Linked DNA regions of Drosophila melanogaster. The protein of the gene in region 1 interacts with the protein of each later gene in a pairwise test. Each region holds a gene or a part of one and is shown in the gene's direction. Other genes may lie near its edges. The genes, in order: Vtld, CG3124 and CG8854.

The links.
Region 2: the proteins of Vtld (region 1) and CG3124 interact in a two-hybrid assay, tested with the Drosophila melanogaster proteins (one large-scale study listed by BioGRID).
Region 3: the proteins of Vtld (region 1) and CG8854 interact in a two-hybrid assay, tested with the Drosophila melanogaster proteins (one large-scale study listed by BioGRID).

Annotation. Positions count from the first base shown.
Region 1 is NT_037436.4:19,758,840-19,762,450, forward strand, and holds Vtld (viral tegument-like deubiquitinase), read left to right. Parts: upstream 1-1,569; 5' UTR 1,570-1,991; coding exon 1,992-2,798; 3' UTR 2,799-2,978; downstream 2,979-3,611.
Region 2 is NT_033778.4:23,282,511-23,286,268, reverse strand, and holds CG3124 (uncharacterized protein), read left to right. Parts: upstream 1-2,155; 5' UTR 2,156-2,300; coding exon 2,301-2,357; intron 2,358-2,415; coding exon 2,416-3,116; intron 3,117-3,165; coding exon of another isoform or gene 3,166-3,178; exon of another isoform or gene 3,179-3,192; coding exon 3,193-3,251; intron 3,252-3,309; coding exon 3,310-3,344; 3' UTR 3,345-3,526; downstream 3,527-3,758. Other genes in the region: atlas, read right to left, coding at 1,447-1,965.
Region 3 is NT_033778.4:12,227,419-12,231,176, reverse strand, and holds the start of CG8854 (uncharacterized protein), read left to right. Parts: upstream 1-1,866; 5' UTR 1,867-2,069; intron 2,070-3,758.

The DNA of each region.
Region 1 (3,611 bases):
GCAGGGAAATGTCAAATGTTGGAATGTCCAACTTCAATATCGTTGACCACTCGTCCGTCGGCAGCCGAAACGAGCTTAGGAATTTTTTAATTAGGCTGTTCAGTTCTTTGCCATGGGAATTGGGAGCGAATCACTGATAAGTAGCTTATCAGCTACTGCAGAGGCCTTTTTCCACCAAGGAATGCCATATACATTCGTACATATGTATCCTCCGGAATGGAGGCCCATAATGCGGAGCGCACAGCTTGTTATTATTAATTATGCATGCGTTGATTTTGCCATTATGCAATTTCGTTTGAGGCATTAAATATATATATCGCCGGCGATTTCGTTTCAGACATATGTTTGTTATTATCCCTGTCCACGCCAACACAATCCCTCCCCACAGCATTGTCCTGATTGTTTGCGCTAAAGCGAAAGCTTATTCCATGGGATTGGATTACTCAACTGTTCGGTCGGATGATGGCGTTCATCCCTGTTTGTCTTTTTTTTTTTTTTTAACAGGCTCACGTGTAAGTTTAATTAAAAGAATAAAAGAAATGCGAAAGCCAGTATATAACGGAATGTAGGGCAACTATTTGATTATAGTTAATTTAAAAAAAAGTTGCCACAAACGACTGGGACATCGGTTAACTGTGGAGCACATTAAATTTCCAGCAATAGAACATAAAATTGATTAATATCGAATTGCTTTGAAAAGCCATAAGCTGAGTTTAATTAAAAGCAAAACCAATCCTTAAGACATGATAAGAGACTTAGGAAAACCTTAGGAATTCACAAATTTTCCTGATAATTTCAAACAAATATTCACGAGGAATTCAAAGTGTAGCCACTTAGACGCGGGTAATCTTTAGAGCACCCCAATCTCAATCAACAAAATGCTCAAGCAGCCAGCCATAAATTTGCATTTTCGACACACTTCGCAAACCATATTTGTTTTTGTTTTTTAAGCTGTATATTCTTCAATGTTGCAATTTAAAATTAGAACTACTTGGCTGGGCTAGCTAAATTTGGGCGCCACTGATAAATATTTGCGCACCATTTTGACACAATGCGAAACGCGTTTCCAAGAATGGCATTTGAATACATTTATGTGTGGCTAAGGCGGAAATCGTCTTTCCTAGAATCTAGATTAGCAGATCTTCTTGTTTAATACGTATATAGATTGGTCTATAAACAACCTATTTAAGTTAAAAAATACTTAAGTCGGTATCATGGATGTAAATAGCTGTTGCGCTGAAGTAGACAAAATCTAAAAACCATTTCAATTTCATTGATGAGTTTTTAACTAAGCTAATTGAAAAACTCTGAATGTACTCCTTTAGCATAGTAAGGTGTAATGCTCACATAGAGCTAGAACACCTTAAAATTTGTTGGAATAATCATATAGTTTCAACTATTACAATTACTTTAAATGTAAAATGGAAATACTATATTCAAGGACCTATAAGAACGTAGCAATACCTTTTCAAATTGCGTCAAATGGGCTCTCATTTTCATAATCAGATCCCCGTAGGTCTGAAATCTCACATCATGTTCGTTATTTGTCAGTTGTTGGTCTAGAAATTTTTGTCTTTCCGACTCGAAAGTTTTCACCTTTACCCGTCGAACGCTCCTCCGGCAAAAGACACTCAAAATTCGATGTTTACTTGAAATCCAAAGCCCGTGCTTAGAGCGTAGTGGAGTGGAGAGGAGTTGCGGCAATCCTGAGCTCGATCCCGAATCCGAGGACATAGTGCTGTTGACGGGTTCGATCACTAGATCCCCACATAAACCACCAACTCTATACCCACACGTGCGCCTTGAAGCCTAGGGGTCATTGCACTTGCGAACTATGTGACAGTGGCACTACGGAAACAGCGCCAGGGCCGGGTTTACCACTGCGTCTCCGGAGCACCAGGATCCGGAAACGCAACCTAAGATTAAGACGTCGCTGAACACAGGATCCGAGGACCAACAACCGATCCCCGGGCGATCAAAAACCCGGCGCCATGGCCATTCACGAGCAGATCGACAACCTGAACATCTGGTGGTTTCCGCGCGACTTCTGTCAGTCGCGATTCGGGGAGTTCCAGCGGAGCGGCACCAACTCCTGCACCATCATTTCCCTAATACTGGCCGACAAGGTGGCCAAGGCGGACAGATTCTATCACAGGGTCTCCGATCTGCCGCTGCGGGGATGGGAGCTCTTCGGCAACGCCATTAACGACGGAAACAGCGTGTACCACAATGTGATTACAACTAATACGCCGCACGCCAGGAATCTCAACCTCAACATTCCGGATGCTATCGCCGCCATTCGGTCGCAGCACAAGATGAACTTCCGGCTGGAGGAGTGGTTTTACACGCACATGGAGGCCGATCCCAGCAATCCCATGTACAACCGGAACGTTGCTGTGCAGTTGTCGCGGGTTTTCCAGATAACACTCCAGATGTTCCAGCACGCCAGCGTGCGAAACAATGTACCCACTAACCTCTTCGCCGCCATCATAGCGGACAGTCGAACGGTGATGGTAACCTTCGATTTCCGAGCCTCGATCGTCGCCCTCTTCGACTCCCACCAACACGGCCGGGATGCGGGAGCCGTCTTCGCCCAGTGCACGCTCGAGAACATGGACGACCTGCTCTTCTGGTTCATCAGCATGTTACACAATGTCTACTCCAGCCGGCCCTCGCTCTTCGAAATCTCCTTCCTCAGCTCTCAGCCGGGGGTGGCCAAGAACATTCCGCCGGCCATCCAAAAAAAGATTGCCGCAGACCTGAAGAAGCCGTTTAAGATGAACATGCCTAAGCACTAATCATGTTGCCAGGTTTACTACAAAGTCGCCAACATCCAAGGACGTCGATCTAGGCGCGGGCCAACCTTTCGGAACCCATTTTTGGGGCTATTTTAGGACAAAATCTCAAGTTTCATATAGCAAAATTTGTGTGTTAAGCGTTTAGAAATTTAATTCAAAATTCTCTGTTGACCATCAACTAATAAATAACGAACTCCAATTTGCATTGTATCCTTAAAGACAGATTTTGCAAGATTTAGCTATATGGTAAGTCTAGTCTGTTCAAGGTTGATACAAGATTGATTTCCGACCCTATAAAGTATAAGTGCAGTCTCTCAATGTCCGTCTGTTTGTTGTCCGTATAATCATCGAAATCTTAGGAGCTATAAACAGTTAGCTGGAACTGCTAAGAAGTAGAAACTTCTTGGTCGTTGAGCTAAGTAACTGGTATCAAAGAGTCGGACAAGAGGACAATAATGTTCTCTATCGTTTAGTTAAAAGTTCTTTAAGGCACGCAGTTAATCGTCGGATTCAAAGAATGAAGACAATATACTTTTGCAAGTCACCTAAACAACTTTCCATGTTGTTATGTACATACATGTGAACGTATGAAAAATTTAACTCCTAATTAATGCTGAACTAAATAATGATATAGAAATTATTTAATTGTGAGCACGTATGTATTTACCTTTCTGTTGATATTTGCCTATTTTCTATTCCTCTTACCTAATTACACTTGAGTAAACAATTAGTTCGGGAGAGCCGAACATCTGTGTGGGGGATTTTATGCATTAGCGGATGTGGGCTGTTTGCTGTTTTGGCCACCCCAGCTAA
Region 2 (3,758 bases), on another chromosome or scaffold:
TTTGATGATGTTACCCCTTATAAAAAATGCGAAAATTGTCAAAAATCGAATTTTCAAAAACCTGCAGATTTGTTATATGGGTCATTAGTATGGATCAATAGCTGTGCAAAAAAGTCATTCCTAGAGGTTTCTAACACTTCTTGGCTGATATATGGCGAAAAACCTTCTTTTTTCCGACCAAAAACACGTATTTTAGCTAACGCAACCGATAAAATGATCAAAATCTTGATTGTAGTACCTCGTTCAACTCGTATTCATATTCCCAATCGATTGACATTTCAATTTGAACATTTTAATTTTTTTAGATTTTTTGCCAATTTTGACGATGTAACCCCTTACAAAAAATGCGAAAATTGTAAAAAAAAAAATTTTCTTTATTTGACCAAAATTTGATACAAAATGAAAGTACAGATCAATAGATGTACAAGAATGTTAATTTTTTTGGCGTGGGACTCATTTTGGCCAAGTTATGATAAAAAGGCTATGGTTCATACAAATCATTTCTATTCAAATATCCAAATGCCCAATGAATCAATTAGCTGCAAAGTAAGACTTTTAATTTAATTGAATGCTATTCAACACTTTACTATTCTAAAATGGCATCTTAAAATGCCAGCACTACCCTTCAATGATAAATGCAAACTGCGATGAGTGTGACTGTTCCACGACCATGTCTATGACTATGGCAAATGCCGTTGACTCGGAGCACAATACACAATAATTGCCAAGTGACGGCAGCTTGGGGGCGCATCAATAACGAGTGCTTGTCACCCGGTGAGCCCACCATCTACCATCCGCCCGCCACCACCACCATCAATCCACATCCAGCCAGTGCACCTCGGATCCACTGGAGCACCGCCGGGAGCGAAATCACACCCATTTGTCAGGAAAAAGAAGTCGGGCGGCAAACGACGAAGTCCACGTCCATGGCGTCGGCGGCGGCGGCGGCGGCGGCGGCGGCTAATTGCAGTTCATGCGAAAAACATCGTTAATCACTCATTGACAGTTTGTTATTTGTTAAACAAAGCTAATGACTTAATGGCATAAATGGTGTGGCAACTGCACCGCGGCCCAAAGGATATCGAAAGTCGAGCCCGGTCGGAGCAGCTGAATAAATGACACGACAGCTCAGGGCAGTCGTCCTCTGTTCTCTGTTCTCCGTGTTCCGTAGTTATGTAGATAAACAATAAGCTGACAAGCCGGTGTAAAATTAATTGTCCTGGACAGCTTGGTTGGGCTTGGGGAGACTGGCGGAGGGGCGTGGTTTTATGGATGATCACGATATGCCCATGGGGCGAAGCAACTAGTTAGAAGTGGCAATGGAATCCCTCGTCTCACGGGATATGTGGATTGGCAACTAGAAATAAAGTAGGACTCATGGGCATTTTGTAAACGAGAAGTTAAACAATTACCACAGTACCTACAATATATTTCCAACACACATCCCTACTGAAACGGGTCCACATCCATGTCATCCACATCCACGTCGCTGGATAAGGGTCTCATTTGACCCATCCTATAGGCTTGCCTTGACCTCCGATCGATTTGGTGTGTATCTTCGTCATCATCCACATCCGGCGAAGGAACATGGGTTTGAATAAGGGTTCTTCTGTGCTTAACCGCCACTCGGCGGGCGTCCTCCATATTCCGCATGTGCATGACCACGGTTTCCGGCATATGGACCACCTTCCGCCGGACAGGATGATGCAGGAGCGGCACAGACGGGGCGATGGCGACCGTGTGGGAGGGGCACTGGGTGGCCAGGTTGCACTGATTGCGCCTCATGGGTCTCGAACGGATCTTGTACTTGCAGCAGTTCACGTGAAAAACCTTCGAATTATTAATCTTGGGACGAAGTGTGCTACGTTTATCTCTTTTCGGCAGCTTCGCTTTAATTTTCTGAGGAGGATGGACCTTCGAGTGGACTTTAACTTTCCTTCTAGTCTTGTGGCCTTTGCGTCCCATTTACTCGATGTGATAACAAGTAATTTGGAAATATACAATACGATAAATACTCTGACGTTTTTGATAATATTATTATCCAAAGCCTTTGAGATGATCATGAAAAAAACACGCTAAAATTGTATTCTATTCAATCATAGTAGGCTTTTCCCATCTCTGTCAGATGTCTGGGAAGTTTTCCTCTACACACTTCATTCGTATTTATTTCATCGTAGGATTCAGATCTATTGGTAGAAAGTAAGAAAAAAAAAATTCTCAAAATTTAAGTTATATACAAATTTGGAGTGAAATATTTTATAAACACTTTCGGAGTATCTCGAGCTTTCCACACATCGAAAATGAATTTTTGTTCAGTGCCTTACGAAGCTGACTACGGCATGTACGCCGATTCCAAGGTACACATAGTTGCATTGGTTCTGTAGACTTGGTAATAAGTCTAAGTCTATATTTCAGATGAAGAGCGTTCCTCAGTACCCCCTAAGCATGGGAGTAGGTCAGGGTCAAGGACAGTCCATGGCCATGCAGCCCCTGAATCCACCGCAGATGAATCTGCAGATGCAGATGCCCGTGTGCCAGTCGGGCGCTTCGTCGTACCCAATGCAGGGTATGCCGCTGGGCATGATGCAAGGGGGCAATCAGATGACCCCCATGTCCACGATGTCCACCCAGCTGCCGATTGGAGCGGTGACTCCCCTGAGCAGCATGACCATGATGCCCATGATGGGCAATCCCATGGGCGCCATCGATGCCCCCGGGATCAATGCAGTGCTGCCTGACCTGCAGCCGATGACCTCGATGGGTCAGATGCAGCCGCTGCAACAGTACAATCCCAGTGGATCTACCACCCAAATGCATCAAGGACGTCTGACGGGCGGCTGCAATGCTGTGATGTCTGCGCCCTGTCCCTCGTCGCCCTCGCAAGCTGGCGGCTGGAGCTCCGGTCCCAGCCCCAACCAAATGATGAACAGCTCCAATATGTGGCAATACAGTCAGCCTATGCAGAGTCACCAGCCGCAGTACCACCAGCAGCACCAGCAGCAGCAGCAACAGCAGCAGCAGCACTATCAGCAGCCGAGCCAGGGACACCAACAGGTCAACCGGATGAAGACCTCCTACGACGCTCCCATGTACCGGGATATGCGGAACGGTCTAAAGTAAGTAGATCTCGCCCAGGGGCGTTCGGCATCCTAATCCGATCCATAGCAATCCTTTTTAATCTCTAACCCTTAGCGCACCATCGATACACGATTCATCGAAGTACAGCAAAGGCAATCAATCATTCAATTGTGGTGAGTACTCACTTTTTTTTTTTGCATAAAAGAATGATATACAATGTTCTGCTTTCAGGAAAAGCGGTTAGCAAGGTCCCCCATTGGCGTTGACGAAACCCTTGAGCCCATCATTAGTTGTTTTTGTACTTTTGCATGATTGGTGTCTCTTTATTTATTTGTTCCAAGACTTCCCCTACGCAAGCAAACAGATACTCAAACCCACAAGAAACACAGACTTGGCCACAAACATATTGGTGTGGAATAAATAGTTTATATGTTTATGGCCGAAATGGAATTATTCATTCGTTGTTTTTCATCTGGCGACTTTAAACGCCCTGATTTATGGCCATCAGACATCAAAATTGGCAACATGTTCGCGGCAAGCGGAGTGTGGTGGAGGGTGGGGGGCTCGGCCAAGGAAAATTGGACGAGGGAAAAGCTGAAATGGCGATGAAAAATTTATGCTGACCGCATGATGAACGCATAAAAAATGTTGCCAACTTATGGCCAAAATGCAATCCACAA
Region 3 (3,758 bases), on another chromosome or scaffold:
TTTTTGATGGCAAGCTCTATGGCAGTACAATTCGATATGAGGCCTACAATATCGATTGAAATCAGATATATGTACTCCTCAATCATTGATGTTACTACTTGTGCAATATTGTTGCCAATATGAAATAGCTTTGCAGTTTTTCCTTGCCATCACTAAGAGCATGTTGCAATGTCGCCGGTGCGAAGTATCTGATAGATAGATACCGACCGAAAGAGCCGAGCAAACACACACACATACGTATTGGAATTGGAGCAGAGATCAACGAGTCTGCCGCCAGTCAAAGGCAAACATCTGGTTGCGGCACCGCTCCCTTACCACCCCCTTACCATTACCGGAAAATGCATCACCACCGCCCCCCGCTGGGTGGCCAGGTGCAGCCGGTTTCCTGTGCGTTGGCAACGTGTGCTGCCCAAGTCCCAAAACGACGTTCGCCATTAAAAGCGGCAAATTGCTCTGGCTCCAGAGCCTCTGAATGGGTCCAAATAGTGCATATGTACCTATATTGGGGTTGGGATTCTACGGCAAGGAATGTAGGCCTGATGAACTGCAGGCTGGCTAAATGAACTCAATGGATGGATGGATGCCCGGTGAAGGCAACAATTTTCGAAGCTCTCGTGACCAGAAATCCAAATAACATTCGAAAGCTGAATGGCATGAGCTTGCAAGACATTTATAGATATATTTCTAAAGATATATATGTATATAAATACTAACATATGATAGGAATTTATATTTTTAAATAATTTAAGAAGCATAACATCTGCGGTCGCTGAGATTTCGCAAATCCTTTAAAATTCCCCAAACAATTATTTGTTAATTGCCTGCTTTTTTATCTGGTGACACATCTGACCACAAAGTGTGGCCCACTTGAGCTGGCTTAATTGAATTGCTTTTGGTTTGGTCTATGGGCCATCAATTGATTGTTTGCACTCGACACTCACCGCAATAGGAAATAATAACTGACCTGACTGAATAAACACCATAAATATCGGCACGACTTTGGGGATACCACACAAAAAACCAACCGCCACCGCACTGAAAGTGAAAGCTTTTTTTAAGGTTTTTTCAAACAATTAATTTTATAAATACCTTTTGGTAGCTAACAAAAAAAACTGCATAAATTATTTGGGCTTTAGCTGCTGGAGATGGGAAAAGTCTCGAATGAGAAATGATGCTCATCACCTGTTTTCTTTTGATGAATTCAAAGGCGGCGCACATTGCCCCACCCGAATGTCGGTTCAAGTTGAAGTTGAAGTTGAAGTGATGCAATTTCTCTCAGCAGCGATTTCAATTTCTTTCCGCAAGTGAAAAAGACTTGAACTTGGCAGCTGCTTTTTTTTTTAAACCACTTACTCTAGCAACGGCTATGGTCACTATGCGGTTAAGTTGAATGAGTTTCGAAAATGGGTGTAATATATGTTGGGTATGAATCAGCTTCTTTTCCTAAATGATGACAGTTCAAATTACAATTTCTACTTTTTAACTGAGTTTTTAGATACATTTCTTTAGAGCAACTTCAATTCGTTGTGTAATGAAGCCCAGTTTTGCTTACATATCTATGGCATTTCCCTGGCGCAGCCGCATTTCAACGACTCTCAAATTTGCATATCAATGTGACTTTGAGTAGCTCTGCGACTGTGACATAACCACCTGCTGTCATTTTAATTTACTGCTAATTAATTTACAGGCCGGCCGAAATTACATCTAGCCAAAGACATAAAGACTGAATGGGATCTCTGATTAATTTTGATGGAAATTGGCAAGCGAACATGTGAGGTGAGCTCAGACCGAGGATCAAACCCGTTCGAACATGCTGGCAGAGAAGCGCCAAAGACTTGTAACTTGGCTCAAACCGTTGGCCAAAACAGTTGAGCGCCGGTCGAAGAAGCGAACACAACGCGGTTGCGCATGCGCGTAGATCATGTGCCGATCGGACGTGTTTGAAATTTACAATTCACAAATTGGCTAAAAGAGCGTTCTATAACCATAAAAGTGCTCTGTGACAAGTGACCGACGGCATAAAACAAATTCAAATTTATAACCAACACCAAAACCAAATAAATAACAAGGTGAATGAAACTGCCCAGAAAACTGTGTCAAAAGCAAAGAAAGTTGCTATTTTTTTAGTGTGGGCAGGCTGCCAAGTATCTTTTTAGGTGTATCTTCAGCTCCGTCTGATGTTCGTTTTCAATCTTTTGCGGGCTTGTCGAGATTGAGTGATCATCTGCGTGGGTCTGTGCCACATAAATTCGAATGCATCTCAGGTGTAATGTAATGATCACCATTTTAGGGCACTACGCCCAGGTATGCGAGAGAACTGTTCTTCTCAGGTGATTCATGATAAAAACTTCTGCTCGTCTCGCATACTTTTTTCAAAGGTGCGGCAGAAGATGTGACTTTTTAAATTCATTTTACCCTGCTCTCGATTGGTTTGATGTAAATCCACAATTGGGCATGATATCACTCGAATAAATATTTATATATTTGAATACTTAGCAAGGTCGATTGGCATTTGGCAAACGTGTTTCCAGTTATTTTGCATTATAATCCGATGTCGAAATATTTACCTTACCTTTGCATAATTTGTGCTGAATGAGACATGGACAGGTTGTTAATTATTACCTTAATTGAAATATTCGGAGAAAACCAAAGTCAATCGAATAATATTATGGAGGTGGGCAAAATTTTGAGTAGTAAAATATAAATAGTGGAATATCTTACCAGTTAATATTTATAAAGAGTGTTTGTGGTTGCTACCTACAAACCTACATTTATCTTAAATAAGTTTATTTTTAGTATACTTAAATTTAATCTTTATTTAAATATCCCATTACGGTCATCCGTCTTAATAGCATTTAATAGCCCGGATTTGCACAAATATTGATAGTTGTCTTTTATTTTAAGCCTAACTCAGGTGGCCAAAACCACTATCAATCACCAAACACGCTAACAAGCCCGACTGATTACACAAAGTAACTCGACGCGAACTTGTCACATTTGATATGCAAATGGCCAGAAGCCAAAGTCAAAGCGGCACTTTACGCTGAAATGAATCTGAATCCGAAATTGAATCTGTATCTGAGGTTGACCGGGGCAATCAGCCAACCGCAGTGAAGGAGTGGAAGTGCCGTCCGAAGATGCCAATTAATTAACAGGGTCTTAGGGGTTTTAAGTGGTTCCATATCCACGAATGTGTTTGCATATTCAACTCTAATTGCGTCTAAACACTGCGCATGCAATTAACTTTTCACGGTAAAGGGCCACGTGGCGCATACGTAATGCGATTTTCACCCACCAAGAACATTTATTATTCTTATCAATTTATTCATCAGTTATCTAGAATAATAACTGGAATATCAAGTATAGAGTGCAGAATTTGTATGCCTACATTGTTTGTTTTGGATTGACTACATTTTGGAGTTCCTTTAAATAATAAATAGCTTAAAAAACAAGCCCTAAACCATTTTCACTCGCGTGCAAATCACTGAAAGTGCATTCAGATGGGCTTCTGTGTGCATATTTTGTTTTGTTTGGATATATGCCATAAAAAGTTTATAGACCCTGAAAGATACACAGATAAACGATTTCATTTGCGTGTCACAGCCAAGTCACGTTGTTTTATTTTTTTTTCGCGGTACAGTTTGTGTATTTTATAAAAAATATATTCCCATCGGAAACCTTTTTTCTTGATCAGGCCATACAAATGTTAATCGATAACCGAAGAGATTAAAACAAACCAGGCAAAAACAAAACCAACT